3 linked regions of the Coturnix japonica genome follow. The protein of the gene in region 1 interacts with the protein of each later gene in a pairwise test. Links are inferred from orthologs where the notes say so. Each region holds a gene or a part of one and is shown on either strand. Other genes may lie near its edges.

Region 1 (7,825 bases):
CCTCTGGATCCTACCTCTGTGCTCCAGCACTTTTGCACAGTTCTTCAGCATTGGGTGGCTGCAAGCCTTGAATATTTGATGGGAAACTGCTGCAGCACCAAGTTTTTCCCCTTTAAAAAGTGCTTGAAGGACTCAGGGGCTTTCTGGCTTCTCTGTATCCCAGTGCCGGATGATGAAGAGTGTACACAGAGAAATTTCCTTGTGCCTTTTTGCCTATTTGGGGATTTCTGACCCTGCTCACTGAGCCCAGGGCAGGAAGGGCTGCATCCAAAGGAGGAGATGGCAAAACCAGCCCCAGTGCTGTTGCTGCCCCTTTTGCCCTCCTGCTACTCTCAGCCCCATCCCAGCACTGCTGATGGTTGTGTGGGCACAGGAAGCTGAGGGAGGTTTCTCTGTTTTGGTGTATTTTTCTAAGTATAACTGAGAATTCTTTAACATCCGCCTCCTACCTTTAATTTGTGGGGTAAAATAGTGGAGATGGCAAAGCTGGGCTGCAGCAGGGATGGAGGCAGGAATGGGGATAACAGGATCCAGCAAAGCCCTGGGATGACTCCAGGGTTCAGAGGTGCCTCTGCAAGGAGAGGCCAGGCCATGGTCTGGACAAGCAGGTCTGACTCAATGCTGGGAGGCTCAGAAGGAGCCTGTCTGAACCCATCCCATTATGTTCTATGGAGGTGATGTATTCCAGCTCAGCCCAAAGCCTCCAGCTGAGGCTCACAGGGCTGCTCAGCTCTAGGAACTCCAGGTTGTCCCCAGCCCAGGATTGGGATGATGCACAGAGGGAGAGTAGCACCCAGTGCTGCTCCTTGCATTGACAATGGGGAATATTCCCTCATTCCCCTATATGCCTATAGGGAGGGATGTGATGCAGATCTTGCTGCCTGGCTCTCAGCATGGACACAGGGGGAGCAGGGAGCAGTGGCTCCAGTCTGTCCTGGCTTCATTTTCATGTAGGAACAGGAGAGTCAGGAGCTGCCCCTGTACAGGAAACCACTTTCTTAGTGGTATTTGGCACCAAATCTGTATATTCCCATTCATTTTAATTGTAAAAACCAACATCCCGACTGCCAAACCCAACCGCTTGCTGTGGAAGCAGTGGAGCAAAGCCACCTCTTAAAAGCTTCTCTCCTGCAAATTATTTCCTAGGGTTCTCCCAGCTTCACAACCAGCATTTCACTGAACCCAGGTCCATTGGAGCTGTGCTGATGTGGACCATGTGAGTGTTTGACCTGGAACGTGGTTGGCTTCAAAAGGAAGGATTTATTTCTTGGCGTGCACCAAAAGGAAGAGCTGCTAATAGCCCTTCAGCTGCCATAATGCAGCAGCTGCAAAGAGGACTCCCAGAATCTAAATGAAATAGGGATTTTCTTGCCTGTGTTCATCAGGATTTAGTTTTTCCCCCCCCCGAATTCTCAACCCTGCTCCTGTTTTCCTGCATTAGCTGAAAACCTGCTGAGGAAGCAGAGAATGGCAGTGAATCTGCTCTATCTCCCAGTCTGGAAGGAGAACAGATAAAACATCCCTCTATGGGGAAAACCATTTACCCAAGGACAAATCTGCTGCTGGTCTCATGCAGAAGTAGAGGATGCATGAAAGTGAATCAGGATCCTGAATGGGGAAAAAAAAGACCTTCCAATATGAGTCATGTTACTTAACAAACAAAAATGGGATTTTTCAAGCTGTATTATTGCTCCTTTCATTTTAGGCTCTTATTAGGGGTTGCCTATTGCAATCGTCTTTTGTAACTCAGAGCCAGATCCATCCTTCAATTTAAATTATTTCAAAGGGATTTAAGCATCTTTGGCTCATCCCATCCTCAGAAACTCGCTTTGTCTCTTTGTCATCAGGCCTTCAGAGCAGCACCTGATCCAAACACCCTCATCTCTGCACCCCAAAAGCATTGCAAATGGGCGTCCTCAGAGCTGCAGTGCTGGAACCTGTACAGAAGAGAGAGACTCCAGAATCTGCCCATCATATTTTCCCTTTCACTTCTCCCACAACCACAAAAGCCTCATCTGGGAGAGTTTAATTGCTTGGGCTCTCAGCCCTCAGCATCACTCCGGTGCCCTGCTGTCATTTCAGAGGGGAAAAGGTAATTTGTTCCAGCTGTCTGTGCAGCCTGGTCCATGCTCTGTGCAGGAGGGTCTGTGTCTTCAGCTCAGTGTATAAAGCAGCACCTGAGAGGTGATCGCCCTGATTCTGTAGGGGCAAAACCTGGGATGGGGATGGGGATGGGATGGGATAGAAGGGGATGGGATGGGATGGGATGGGATAGAAGGGGATGGGATGGGGATGGGGATGGGATGGGGATGGGGATGGGATGGGATGGGGTGCTTCTGCGCTCCTGCAGTGTCCACTGGGAACAGCTTTATGCTGCACGCTGCTCACCCCATTTGCACAGCCGGGATTAGGGTGATGTATGCGTGCAACGTCCCCGGTCCCGAGAGGAGGAGCGTCCCGTGGGGAGCGGTTACACAACAGTGTGGGTTGGGATTCCATGGGGAAATCCTAAAGGGGGGTGGAGAAGGGGGGAAGAAAGAGAGGGGGGGGGGGGGGGGTTTACGACTGCGATGGATCCTATGGGAGGAACCGCTGCTCCGGGAGGGTCACCACGAGAAGATCCCACGCGGGGCCGCTCCCCGCACCACCCCCCCCTATATCAGTGTCTCCTCCCCGGGGCGGCCCAATGCACCCGCCCTGCCCCGCTCCTCCCGGCCACACCGCCAGCCCGGAGCCCGCAGAGCGGCGTGCCGTGCCGTGCGGTGCCGTGCCGTGCCCACCCGTGGGGCCGAGCCCCTCGCCTGGCTCCATGCGGCGGGGTCCACCCGGCCCCGCTCCCCCCTGCCCGGGGAGCCCCGGCGGTGTCAGGGCAGCTCGACGGCTGCGGAGGCGCGGAGGGTCCCCTCGGCTTTTGCCCGACGTGCGCAACATCTTCTCGGCTCCTCGAGAAGCGGCGGAACGAGCCCACGGTCACGGTCACGGTCACGGTCACGGTCACCGCTTCGTCCCCCGCGTCCCTCGCTGCGGTTGGTGCGATCTGTGCGGAGCTGCCGTGCGGGATCGTGCCCTGCGCTGCGAATGTGAGTGCTGCTGCCGTCCCGCAGTTCCATCCCGCACCGCATCCATCACCCTGCCCTACTCCCCACCAACTCCATGCCCCCCTCACCCCCAGCCCCGTGTCCCCCCGCAGAGCTGTCCCCCGTGGGGTGCGGATCCGTGCGGGGGATGCGGGACTTGGGGTTTTTTTTTCCTCCGGGGAAGATGGGATTATCGGCTCATCGGGGCGGAATGGCTCGTGGTTGTGCCGCCTTACGGTGGAGCTAAATCCTTCCAGGAATAGCACGTTGGGAATATCTCCTTTAGGTTCTTTGGGCAGTGAGCAGTGGGAGCTCTCTAGGAAGACTCGCTGTGCTCCCATCGGGTGCATTAAGATTTAGTTCTGCAGGAAGGGTTGGCGTTCCCATCGTGTTTAAGGGGTTGGGAAGAGGGGGTGGGAGTGAATGGGGTGTCCTGGGTCAGACGCAGCCCATGTGCATCACTGTGTGAGGGGTGGCATAAGGACCAAGCAGTGAGTTACAGGCAGCAGAAGTCGAACCTGTTGCCTTGTTATTCCATATCTTCTGAATGGGGAAAGGGCTTTACATCCTATAGACTATGAGCAGTGCCTGGGGGCGGCGCTCCTCCTGCCCCAGCCCTGTGCCCAGCTGATGTTTTCAGGTAACTGAGGGAGCATCCCGATCTGACACGTTAATTGGCAGCACTTTGTGATGCTGTGAGTGCTATAAAAGGGGTGTTTTGAGGGATTTCTTTCCCAGGGCTCTTTTACGAGTGATATTGAAAGAAGCCTGCAGTGCTTGCTTCCCTTTTCGTTTCTTCTGAGAGCTGTCAGGCTGTGGGAATAGATCAGCCTCTAAAATTCCCCAAACAACGACGTGTTATCGCTGGGGGGAGGGAGAGAAACTTCAGTGGGACTCTTAGAACATCAGCACCCATCGCCCTCCCCCTCCTCCTGCAGCACATCCGTTTCTGTTGGGGTTTTTTTCTTGCTGTTTGTTCAGGTGGGGCGGAACGTAGATGTTGGAATGTGAAGGTGACAACGCAGCTTCCAAGTCTGTGCTGAGATTTATTTGGGTTCTAAGCAGGGATATCCGGGGTCGGGGGTGGTTCTGGAAGCAGAAACTCCTGCTCCTTCCCCTTATCCCCTGCATTATGGGCTGGGCTTTTCCCTCAGGCATTTTCCAGCCTTAGGTCCTCTCTCATCCTGGCAGCTCAGGGCATGACTTACAGCCCTTGTATTTCCTGGGCTGTGCTTATCAAACTGCCCTATGGGGTGAGCTGGGTGTGCCCTGCATGGGTTTGTCCCATAGACCCGATCCCTCCCCAGGACATCATGTCACCCCACCAGCACTCAATGAGGTTTCCTTGCAGGACAATGGCACAGCTCAGTCTGTGTTCCAGCACTGTTGGATCAGGACCCATTTCATTGAGAAGAAAGCTGGCACAACACACAGCACTTTGCTTTCTAGCTTGTAAACTGCAGCTCTGCCATTACAGGTTCTGGAGTGGCTGTTTAATTATCAGTGCTCAGTAGCAGGTGTGGATGCTCCCAGCTGGGCTCTGGGATGGGGTCTCTGCCCACACCTGCAGCACTTTAAGTGTGAGGTTTTCCCATGTCTCCTCCCTGCGTGTCCCTCCCATTTCTGCTCTCATCACTGTAAACAATAATTGCCACCAGGAGCCACAGTTTTGGGGCTTCCTTAGTCTGGTTTGGGCAGATTCTTGTTCTCCCAGCAGCAGAGGATGAGGGTGGTGGGGAAGGTGCAGGGCAGGGCACAGGGATCAGGTCTATGGGGCAGGGCACAGCAGGTATTGCTCACTGGGGGACTCAGCATTGGCAGGCTGCTATTCTGGGGGGGGCTCAGGTCCTTGGGTCACCCTTTGCTGCTGCCTTCCCATCCTGTGCTTATGGAGGAAGACACCAATGGAGGCTTTGGTTCACCAGGTGAGGTTTGGGTTGTTTCTTCCTTTCCTGGTCCTGTAGCTGGGCTTGGTGGTCTGGGTTGGGAAGAAGGGATGTGTGTGAGCTGCAGGGTTGGGGGATGCTGAGGGGTGAGGAAGGAATTACTTTGTATTATCCTGTGCTGCTTGGTGTGATGTTTGGATTTAGTGAGCTTTTATCTCTGCAAATTAATGGATGAAATGGGTAGAGTGTGTTGTGTGGGATGCTGGAAACCTGCCCCATGGGTGAGGGGATGGCTGTGATACAGAATGGGGAGGTTTTAAAGCCCTTTGTTGGGTGATGGGATGGATACGAGCATCATCCAGCACCTCACGTGGCTAGAAAGGATGGATGCTACAGGAAAACTGCAGCACTGATCCAAAAACCTGGCAGGGCTCATGTCAGTATTGCTCACATTGCTGATCTCAGTGTATTTCTTTAATGTTTCATTCAATATTGGAGGCTTTAGACAACCACAAGGGAACAGCAGTGAAGTGGGGATGTTAGAAAGGGACCTCCCAGCTCAGCCAGCTCCTGCTCTCCCTTCTAATCTCTTCCGTTGGGTCTTTTTATCTTATCAAGTAAGAAAAAGAAAAAGCCCCCGAAATAGAAACTTTTCCATGGTGAACAGGACGAGCCCTGAGGTGTGTTAAGCCCCGAGCTGTGCAATGGGCTCCACTGTGCTCTAAATATATAAATAAATGTATCCGTCAAATAGATTCACCGATGGCTCATGTCAATGCTTTATCTCCATGGGATAAGGCTGTGGAGGCAGGCGCTGCTCTGCGCAGTGCTGTGCTGCCTTGGGAGTGTTGGTCCCCCTGCTGAGGATGTCGGAGGGCAGAGCAGAGGCTGCTGTTTGCTTTGGGTTCATTGCAAAGAGAATCCGCAAAGTATTCAGGCACTTTTTCAAGTCCAAGTCTTGCTCCGAGGGACCGCAGAGGCTGAGCAGGGAGGGCTCATTGCTGAGAGGTAGGGGCTGTGTTTGGGTGTCTGTTGGTTGCTGTTGTTAATGAAGGGGGGTAATGGGGTTCCATAGAGCACAGCTGGAAGTGCTTCATGCCTCAGCAGGGAAGCTGCTCCATTAAGAAGCAATGGCTTTAGAGCATCACCCACCCAGTGGCTGCTTTGTGCTCCTGTCCCAGCTTGGTGCAATGGCTGGGGTTACCCTATGAAGCTGGACAGCTTTGAAGAGCATTATATCAAAGGATGCCAATGGCACACAGGGCTGGGCAGGGTGACTGCAAGCTGCGCTTAGGCAGATGGATGAGCACCCAGATGGGGTTCAGTTGCACATCCAATGTTATCACTCTGATAAGCTTTATCTGCATGCAGAGGGAAGTTCCTTTCAGCTACTAAAGTTTCTTGCTATGTTGTGATCAGACTCGAGGGTTTTCTTTACTTAAAGAAGCTGTTTCCAGCGGTGGCTTTGTTTGACTCGAATAGAAATGATCTCACGGCCGCAATGGAGGCATCCTGCCCCATCACGTGGCTGCTTCCCAGGGCTGTGCTGGGCTTCTAAAATTAGTGCTGCCCACCAGATAGTGGTGATTAGGGCTGCTAATAGGCGGCGGTGACTAAGGAGGTGTCATGCTGTAATCCTAAGGGGGAAATGCCTGGCTGTGATGGGGGTGGACTCAGTGATTTGTGGTCTGTATTTCACACTACAGACTGCTCCCCATTGTGGGTGCTCCATCATTCCCATCCTACATGCCGTGCATGGGGACATCTGAATGTGATGCCTTTGGGGGCTGCTGTGTTGGTTGCTCAGGTGGGGCTGCAATCACAGCCTGCTGTGCTTGGCACCTTGCAGCATAGAGCTGGCAAATGTCCCACTGAGCAGCTGCTCCAGCTGTTTGAAAGGTCATGCATTGCATTACCATGCAACTGCTTGGCTTATCCCTCATTAAAATTAAGAGGGGGGAAAAAAATCAATCAGAAGACCCCCTTGCTTGCCTCCCAGCCTTGAGACAACCAGCTGGAAATGGTAGGATGGCAGCTGGTGTCAATTGAATGCTAAGCAATCAATGGTTCCTCTGAGGGAGATACTCAGGCACTGCGTGAATGCTCTGCTCCTGCTTGGGAATTCCTTGATAGGGGCAGAGATCTGATTCTATGGGATGTCACTTTGCTTTCTGCAAGTCCAAGGGGTTCAAAAGCAATGACCCAAGTGCCCAAAAATAATAGAGGGAAAGGCAGGTTTTCTTGTAGAGGGGGCCTCTGCAATGCTGAGGGTGTTGGTTTTGGGGAGGAGTGGGTGCTGGGTGGCCAACAGGTCAATGACTGCACTGGAATTGTGGGTTGTGTAAGAAATAATTGATTGAATGCTGTTTGTGGGGCTGTTAAAAATTAAAAGGGCTGTTGGAGTGGGGGGAGCACTCAGAGGGGCTGGATGTGGCTGCAGACAGCACCCATGGGTGTTGGTAGAGCGCAATGGGGAGGACATGGGGCTTCTGGCTGCTCTCCCATCACAGCACGGCTCTGTTCTCTCCCAGATTGCAGGTACACGTGCCATCAGCAATGCTGCAGCCTCGTCCAGCTGGACTGCCGCCGGCCTGACCCCGGGCAGCTCTCTCCTGTGGGCACCATTGTGCTCCCCTGCAGCCAGGTATGCCCTCATGGTGGTCAGCCTCTTTCCCAAAGCCCATTTCTTTGCTCTTAGCAGGGTGAGATTTCATTGCAGAGGTCGGCCCGTGGCCCTAATTGATGCTTGCTAATAAATTCCCTGTGCATCTTGCTTCTGTGCCCATCATCTGAAAAGGGAATAGGTGCCAGAATACACTGGGGAAATGGAGAACAGCACACTGGAAGGGTGGGAAATGCCGT
Region 2 (4,562 bases), on another chromosome or scaffold:
CTTGAAGGATAAACCCCCTATTTCAGGGCTTTGTGCAGCTCTGCTCTATGGCCACAAAGGGCCTCTCAGCTCCGCCAGCCCCAAAGATGCTGCTGGAATATCAATAATCCCCCCTTGCTGCCCCCCCTTCCCTTCTCCTTTTGCCATGTCAGTGTTTCCCCACGCCAGATGGCTCCTCCTGAACTCCTCATATTTTACATACACACACACTGATTACAATCTGCAGTTGTGAAGAGCTGCTTGTTTTGCCTAAACCAGCTGTTCAGATCGTTCCTTTGTGTTCTGCCCTTTTAATTTATTTATTTCTTCCCCCTGGTGTGGGCTGTTTCTATTTAAATTCCTTAAAAAAAGGAGAAGAAGGGGGAGAAAAAGAAAGCGCAGGGAAGCCACAAAGCAGTGGGGAAAGGTCAGGAGCAGACAAAGGCTCTGCTGCTCTAACAGAATACTGAGTGCCTCTGTGCACCCCCAGCCCTCCCCCCATGGCTGTTCGCTAGCCCTATAACACCATCCCCAAAGGCAGAATAACAACGTGTGGAACGTGTATGGATCTGGTTCTGAATATCACAAGGTTTGGAACATTTCAAGGCAGGAATAACTGCTTTATAGTGTGTTAAGCTGGAGCTGATTGTGAGAGCGTTTCTAAGCTGGGTGCCTGAGATGGAGCATCCTTTGGGACTGCAGGAGTGCTGCTTGGGATAGGGCATGTTTTGGGACTTCAGCTGTGGTACTTGGGATGGGAAACCCAGTCCTGGTACCTCAGATGGAGCATCCTGGTACTGGGATGGGATGTCCCTTGGGTAGACACTCATTGTATTTGGGATAGGGCTTGTTTCAGGAGCGTAGTGCTGGTACCTGGGATGGGGCATCCTTTGGGATTGCAGTCCTGGTACCTGGGATAGGGCATGTTTTGGGAATTCAGCCGTGGTGCTTGGGATGGGAAACCCAGTCCTAGTACTTGGATTAGGGCATCCTTTGGAATTGCAGTCCTACTATCTGGGATACGGTAAGTTTGGGTATTACAGTCCTGGTACCTGGGATGGAGCATCCTCTGGGATTGCCATCCTATGCCTGATACTGGAAGCCCAGTCCTGATAATAACATGAAATAACCTTTAGGATTGCAGCCCTGGTGCTTATGATGGGGCACCTTTGGGAACTCAGCCCCAGGTGCCCGAGCCAGGCTTCATTTATGACCATACTCCCCATCCCCTGGGTACCCCCTCCTGCCCATCCGGACATCACGGAGCGCACCCCCAGCCGAAGGAACCTCTGTGTTCGTGGGGAAGGGCTGTGAGACACTAGAAACCTCAGCCTCCCTCCTCCACTCCCCCCCTCCCCGCAGCCCCGACCGCATCTCCGCCCCTCTCCTCCCCTCTCCGCCCCACCGGGGGCGGCCCCAAGCGGACAGCGGGCGCGGCGCGGAGCAGCGCGGTGCGGTGCCGGTGAGTGCGGGATGGACGGGGCAGCCGCGTTCCTATCCCCATCCCTTTGCCTTTCCCCATCCCTGTCCTCATCCCCATCCCCGAGGCTGAGGGTGGCTTTACAGACCCCCTACCCTCCCGTCGGTGCCACCTTATTGCTGCCTTCGCCTTCACTCTCGAAGCTGGCTGTATTAGCAGGGAGATGCGAGCCCCCATCTGCGGGGTCCCAGCCCTGCACGCGACCCCTAAACCCTAATCCTTCCCACTGGTTCCCCCGTACCCACGGCTGAGTCCCCCAGCCCCGTTCCCTGCAGCCCCTATGGAGCTACTGACGGCCAATGGTTCTGCACGGGGGGGAATGAGCTCAAGCAAAGGGTCCGCTCGCTCAGCCCTGTGCCATCAACCCAACCACCATCACCCGGCAGCTCCTCACCGCTCCCTCCTCTCCCCTTTAACAGGACGGAGCTGAACAATAGCAGAGCTGGAAAACAATGGGACCGCCTCACCTTCACGCTTAGCTAGGGGAGAAATCCCTGCTTGAAACCAACATTTGGGCCGGAGCTGCTGGGTACCATCATCGGGAGCGCTGCTGGGATCTGCTTGGAGTGGGTGAGGATGTGCAGCCGGAGCCCATTGCTGAGCAATGCCTCTCCCAGCCCCTAAAAGGGGATAATTGTCCCCTGCAGATGTTGCTTTGCTTCTGCATTGGGATCGATGGATGCTCTGATGCTGCACTGCCCTGGGCAGGGTCAGGGCAGGGTTGGGATATTCCCACAATCCCTCAGTGTGCAATAGGAAAATCCTCAGCCCTGAAAGCAGCGAGGAAGTGCCCCCAAAAACACACTTCTCATTACAGGAATGGCCGCAACCCTTCTCTCACATATATCATATTTGGATATTGTTCTATTTTTCCCCTCTTTATGCTTTCTTTTTGCTCGGTATCTCCCCAGGAGCTCTGCAGAAGCAGCAGCTTGGTTGTGCCCTCTATGGAGTAGTAGATGGGGGCCAGGTAAAGGGCCTTAGGAAGGGTGTTGCTAGGAGGGATTATATTTGGGGTTGGAAGCAATGGTGGCAGTGGTTGATGGGTCCTATTTGTAGGCAGAGAGCGCTGCTTTGATTAATTTAAGGCATTGATACAGCCCTCAGGCTGCTCTGAGTCCTCAATCCATGGCAAATGTGAATGAAATGCATCAAAACTGGGGAAACTGAGGCACGGGGATGCCTGGAAAGCCCATCCATGCCAACTGCAGAGCTTGGGCAAGTGACTGGGCAATGCTCATGTTTCCAGCTGTTCTACTGGGGTCCTTTCCAGCACTTCAGGTCTACCAAGGCTATAGCAGGTAATCCATCGGGTTGCAGTTTGGGTCTCTCTGTTGGCTGCCTGCTCCTCTTTGCTCAGCCCGATGCTCTCGAGACCCAAAAAAGGAAGAACTGCCCCGTTCCTGGCTGCTCGGAAGGGGATATGATGACGGAGGCGAAGGTGGCAGCGCTGCGGGGCGGTAAACAGGAAACCCAGCTCCACTCTGAGAGCGTTCAGGAGGAGAAAAAACCACTTTTGGGGGTGCTTTTTGATTGATGGATTGATTGATTTTTTGCTTTGATTTTCCCCCATTTCAGGAAGCGAGGGGTTGGGCTTTGGCCCTTTGTGTCACTCTAGGCTTATTGCGAAGGGTTTGGGGTTTGTTTTGGCTGCTTTGGTGTTGTTGGTGATGTTTTTGCATGACCCAAGCAACGTTATTCTCCCTTAATTGTTATTTCCATCATCTGGATTGAATGAGCAAAGCACCAACTCTGCTCTATGCACCACAGCTGCCAATGCTTTGGCTCAACCCAAATTCTGGTGCCATGCAATGCTGTGCTGGGATTTATCCCAACACCATCAGCATTCCCCTTCCTTATGTAGTTCTCCATGCACACAGAGGATCATTAATGTTTCTCCCCTATTTTCTTGCTGTGATGAGCCACGTGGATGGGGTAAAGGCCTCATGCTGATATGGGGCTGCAATGCTGCTCATCCGGAAGCGTGCGGCTTCGTCAGCTTTTCCTCTGCAAGATGCAATCTTTGCAGGGCAGGTTTCTCTTCTGCTTTCTGCTCTGCCTTTGCAAACATTTCCCTGCATTGGACCGTGAGTGTTTTCTGATGCGTGGTTTGTTTGCTATAAGCTTGGGATAAGGATTGCTGCTGCGCTCGGGTTTTTGGTTTCCTCTGACACAGGTTTAGTCCCATGGCCTTGGTTGAATCACTGATGGCGCATCGTTGTGGGTTTGGGGTTTTGCTTTTGCAGTTCAAGTTTTGGTTTCTTGGAGCTTTGGGGGTGTGGAGGGACTGTGAAGCTCGATGTGGGAAGTGGAGAAAACTGCAATTTGTGCACAAAGTGTTTGGTTTTTTGGCCTTATTTTCTCTGTGTGAGGAGAAAGAGGGGAGAGGAGCTCAGAAAAAGGATCTGTGCAAACACATGGGAAAAAGCAAGACCTGAAAAGCCACCCCTCATAGCCTAAAACCACTCTGAAGCTGCAGTTCAGCTTCTCTCCAGTTCCTGTTTCACAAAGTGCTCCAAGCAAATGGGTGACCCCAAAGGTTTTGCCCCAGATCTCATTCGATTCCGGTCTGTAGCTTCCAAGAAACATCCTCGTGCTTTAAAGGCCAAACCACTTCAAAGGTTGGGCTGCAGGCGCAGTTCCTGAGGGTTTGCATGAGAGTGATGGGGATATTTTGGCACTGGAGGGAATGCAAAAATTCAGTGGGTGTTGCATTCGAAGAAGGAAAAAGAAGCAAGAAACCAATCCAGTGGTTCTATTGTGAATCCAGCTTTCATGCGTGCTGCCTCATTTGGGACAGCATGAACAAGCATTAAGCTGGATCCACCCACAGCTTCCTAACATATAAATGGGGGGTGGGGGAGAGGAGAAAAAGGAGGAAATCCCACTTATTTCCACCTCGTCTTGCCTGGCTGTGCAGCCTATGGATGGAGGCTGCTCTAAATGCAAATGTTGGAGTAAGCGTATCTCTGCCGGTATTAAATTTTCAGTGGGTTTACAACGGTTCTCCCCTTATCTGATTTCCCCTCCTGCTTCCCCGCCCATTGCTTCTGTTGGAGGAGCAGCATTTAATTTCCCCTGCGCCCACAGATGCTGCCCCAAA
Region 3 (4,408 bases), on another chromosome or scaffold:
AGGAGGCACTACAAACAGTACCTACTGTGTGAAATAGGGTGTGACCAAAAAAGAACCTTGTACAGGGATTACACCTGGGCAATTTATACACAACTCACTACTGTAGTGAAAGATTGATCCATCCTGGAGGCATTGCTATGGTGCAGCACTAAGTATGTCATGACGTATGGCACCAAGGTGGCATGCTGTTGAGCAATGCTCTTCTACCATACTCCATAGTTGAGCATGCATCTGTCAGTGTGCCTCTATGAGTGGTACTGACCCACCAAAGAGCCTAAGTGGGACTGAAAGAGGCTTTGGGCTTTTCATTCAGGCAGAGCCCAACAGACTGCAAAGCACTCTCAATGCCGGAGCTCTCCCTTGTATGTTAGTATAGGACACGGTTCTTTCCTGTCTCCTTGCAGCATGAATAAAACATCACAGAGGGCCTGCAGAAAAGAACGCATTTCTGTGACAGCAGCATCCTGCTGCCACGCTTGAAAATGCTTGTTTTGCACAGGGCTTAACCAACTTATGCGATCTAGTGCTACAAGCTATTTTGGTGGCTTTAGGCTTAGATTTCAAAGCAGGATAGTGCTCCTACAGACATAATAAGAACACCTTCATCTGCGTTAGGTTAGACAAGAAGAAAACACAGGAGGTATGCTGATGTATGCAGAAAATGAGGCCTCTAGGAGGGGAGCCAGACCTATACAGAAAACAAGGAGAGCCAGTTTGTGGTGCATGAGTGGCATGGATGCGTAAGGAATGCCTGTTATCTGTAAGCTGGCCATCACTGTTTGGTGCTGGGTAAAACCAACATCCTGTTACCAGGATTTCTTCGCCTTCCTGCTGCATCTGTGCAAGAAAACAGAAATAAAACAAACTTTTCCTGCCCCCACTCCAAAATAAACTAAGAAACAAGTGGAAAAGGCAAAATATTCGGTGATTTGTGTTGGTGGCTCATCTCCCTGTCATAAATTCCCTTCAAAGGAACTGTTTTTTCCCAAACCCAACCTGCTCTTCCCCCATCCTCATCCCGTCCTTCCTCACCACACCCCCAGGCCGGCAGGGGGCGCCCCACAGCCCCCCCACATCAACCGCAGCCGTTCTCCAGAAGACGGCTGCTCTGATTGGCGGCCGAGCGGCCCGCAGCGGAGAGCGGAGCCCCGCGATTGGTCCGCAGGTGCCGCGCAGGGGGGAGGCAGAGGGTATATAAGGAGGGAGCGGCGGCAGCGGAGCGTGGATAGTGGTTGCGTTGTGTTGGTGTGCGGGTGTGGGCGGCGGGAGGCGCAGCCCGCAAGCACAGCGCCCTTCCCCGTCAGTGCCGGCGTTGGCAGCCGTTCGGTGCGGTGCAGTGGCAGCTCTGGCCGACCCCAGCCATGCTGTGTTATGTGACCAGGCCGGACGCGGTGGTGATGGAGGTGGAGGTAGAGGCGAAAGCCAACGGCGAGGACTGCCTCAACCAGGTGAGGGGCGTCCCCAGTGGGGCGGGTGGCGGTCTCCCCCCCCCCCCCAACCCATTATTTTCTCCCTTTTCCCCCCCCCCCCCCCTTCCATGTTGGATGCGGGTTGCCCGCATCCCTCTCCTCGCCGCTCTCCGGCCCGGCGCTGGTTATCGCCTTTCTCCTTCACTTGTTTGGGAAGGGCGGGCCAACAAGGGGGTGAGAGGGGGGCTGGGGAGGCCTCGGCCTCGCTGCTGCGGCCCCATCTCAACCTCCCCCCATACCCCCCGAGGGATGGGGGGGGCACGGGAGGACCCGTCGGGCCGCTGCGAGGCCGCCCGGGTGGGGCCCGCGGTAGCTGGGGCTGCGGGAAGAGCCGCCCCGTCTGTGCGTGGTGTCTGGGTGAAGCTGAGCCTGTCCCCCCCGGGGGGTCATAAAGTCCGTGTTGTTGTCGGCTAGTGGGGACGTTGCCAGCTTGTTTACGTAGCGCTTTGCACGCCGCTCTTTGGAAATCTGCTCGTATAAAGATGCTTGCAAACAGGGTTTCTCTCTCGTTTCAAGCTGCTCACACTTGAGCCGGGGTATCTTTGTCTAATCGTGTCGTTCGTGCCTTATAAACGACCTCTTTCTTTCAGGTTTGCAGAAGGTTGGGGATCATAGAAGTCGATTATTTCGGACTGCAGTTCACTGGCAGCAAAGGGGAGAATCTATGGCTGAATCTGAGGAACAGGATTTCCCAGCAGATGGATGGTTTAGCTCCTTATCGGTTTAAATTAAGAGTCAAGTTCTTTGTAGAGCCGCATCTTATCTTACAAGAACAGACAAGGTAAGGTAAAGAAGGCTGTAAGCAAAGCTAATTTTGTTCTCAGTTTTGTTAACTTGTGAAAACGATTATGTGGAGGCTCTATTTCTTCCGTCTTCTGATATTCCCTGTTAAACTCAGTTTAAATCCACTATTTAGACGTGTTATTCACTTTCTAGAAAGAAAAAGTAATGGTGTGAGTAGCTAGCAGTAATGTATGTAGTTAATTCCATGAGAAACTGGTGCTGGAAGAAGCTGAGCTAACAGTAACAACTTATTTAGATGGCAAATGTGTGTCCGATAGTAACCCCAGCTCAGTGGTGTTACTGTAGGTCGTTCTAAGGCAGGAAACAATTCCTCCCACAGAGCAAAAACTTGCTGAATTCCTTTTTGTCTGGTATCATGTTACAGTAACTTTCAAACAGCTACAGGCCCTGTGAGGCTACAAAAGAAACAGCTGTTGGGCTTCTGTAGCCTGTCCTAGTAACTAAATTGTTTGCTACCCAGCCTTAAGGTTTGGACTGCTAAGATTAGTGAGGCGTGCTTGCTTTCACTCCTTGAGTTTGATTACTGCCTTACTGCTTGATCTCCAATTGCTTTCTCTTTAAGGAAAGCTGGGTACTAAGTTTAATACTGATTTCTCAACTAATGTTTTTTGTTTTAGGTAGTAAATGGGGCAGATGGAAATCTAGTGTCTGGCTGGTAGTGCCAAAATGTCTTCATTTAGTAGAATGAGTTAGTTAGGTACTGGAATAGGCTCCCCAGGGAGGTGGTTGAATCGCCATCCCTGGTTGTGTTTAAGAGCCGTTTGGATGTGGTGCTCAGGAATACAATTTAGTGTAGGGTTTTTAGAGTTAAGGTTCTGGTTAGGCTACAGTTGGACTTGATGATCTTCAAGGTCTTTTCCAACCTGGGTAATTCTATGATTATCCACTTTTACTTTGTACTATCAGAATTAAGACCACAGACATGACGCCCTTGTTCTGCACAGCATGTTTGTGTAATTAATTTGGTCATAAACTGGCTCTTGATTTGGTGTGTATTTCATAGGAAGGGACGTCTTGAGTTTTTCCTTCCCTAATGTATAGGGGTGAGGCTTTGGGGAGTGGTTATTGCCCAATCTGTTTGAAGTTGAATGCTATTTGTATGACTTTATCTGGCATAATAGATTCAGTTGGGCAAATATAGTCCAACAAATCCAGGATGTCTTTGGGCTCTTACTGAATACTTTTCTTCAAAATGCATATAAGTAAAGAAAGGAGGAAATAAAGGATTTTTATGTAGAACCAAAGAAGCAACAGGGTCTCATTCCTGATGAGGCAGATGAAATTGCTGTGTATGTTGTTGGATGCAGCTCCTCACTCAGGCAAAGCCATTGTGAATCTGAGGAAACAAAGTGCAACTGTGATTGGTGTTTTGCTGTTGCTGCTGAGAGCTTGTTCTGCTTTATATGGCTCTTGCAGACACCTGTCTTCTTACCTTCAACACCATCAGTGCAAGTCTTGGCAGGTTGTGTAAGCTACTAACAGAGCTTGAAGTGGTGAAACACACCCCAAGGGCCTAAAAGGCAGGTTTTGTAGCTAGACTGCAAAATAACTTGTATGTACATACATCAAAGTCATGAGTGTGTTCCACTATAAAGATGACTTTAAGAGGTTGCAGGTGGGATGAGTTCTCTTTTATGTGTGAATTAAGGCTGTTTGAAAGTATTTTAACAAACACGTCTAACACTGAGACTCAGTCAATGAGAGCTCTATTAAAATGAGGCCATGGTGAAAATGAATTGATGATTTGGAGAGAAACTGCTTATCTGGGGCCTTAGGAGCATTCGCACTTGCAAGATAATCACATGAAATGCTAAATCAAAGTCAGCTGTTCAGTCCACATACTGAGTATCTGTGCTAAAAGCGTTTGCATTAATAATTAAATCCACGTTGCAAAATAGTTTGCGTTGGCTGCATTTTAGCTGCCTGCATGTGGCAGATCTAGAGCTCCACGGTGGTTGTGGTTAGTGTGTATTTCCGTAGTGCTGGCACTGAGGTACATTAAATTTGCTATTCCTTCTCAGGTCTGCTAAAGGATTTAGCTGTGCACCCCTAGTTTAGTTTAAACTTGGGTAGGATGAAGGAAAAGGTAAAAACATGTTGAACCTGTCAGTGAATTGGTGGGTGTATCATAGAAG

Evidence for each region.
Region 2: the proteins of RASSF5 (region 1) and RASSF2 interact in binary tests that used the Homo sapiens proteins (3 or more experiments, as listed by UniProt). The link is inferred for Coturnix japonica from reciprocal best matches to the Homo sapiens genes RASSF5 and RASSF2.
Region 3: the proteins of RASSF5 (region 1) and MYLIP interact in binary tests that used the Homo sapiens proteins (3 or more experiments, as listed by UniProt). The two-hybrid records come from large-scale screens. The link is inferred for Coturnix japonica from reciprocal best matches to the Homo sapiens genes RASSF5 and MYLIP.

What each region holds. Positions count from the first base shown.
Region 1 is NC_029541.1:2,733,071-2,740,895, forward strand, and holds the start of RASSF5 (ras association domain-containing protein 5), read left to right. Parts: upstream 1-2,651; 5' UTR 2,652-2,686; coding exon 2,687-3,080; intron 3,081-7,494; coding exon 7,495-7,607; intron 7,608-7,825. UniProt on the Homo sapiens protein: Potential tumor suppressor. Seems to be involved in lymphocyte adhesion by linking RAP1A activation upon T-cell receptor or chemokine stimulation to integrin activation.
Region 2 is NC_029537.1:1,638,079-1,642,640, forward strand, and holds the start of RASSF2 (ras association domain-containing protein 2), read left to right. Parts: upstream 1-1,364; 5' UTR 1,365-1,441; intron 1,442-1,878; 5' UTR 1,879-2,029; intron 2,030-4,562. UniProt on the Homo sapiens protein: Potential tumor suppressor. Acts as a KRAS-specific effector protein. May promote apoptosis and cell cycle arrest. Stabilizes STK3/MST2 by protecting it from proteasomal degradation.
Region 3 is NC_029517.1:67,510,470-67,514,877, reverse strand, and holds the start of MYLIP (E3 ubiquitin-protein ligase MYLIP), read left to right. Parts: upstream 1-1,210; 5' UTR 1,211-1,361; coding exon 1,362-1,448; intron 1,449-2,059; coding exon 2,060-2,250; intron 2,251-4,408. UniProt on the Homo sapiens protein: E3 ubiquitin-protein ligase that mediates ubiquitination and subsequent proteasomal degradation of myosin regulatory light chain (MRLC), LDLR, VLDLR and LRP8. Activity depends on E2 enzymes of the UBE2D family.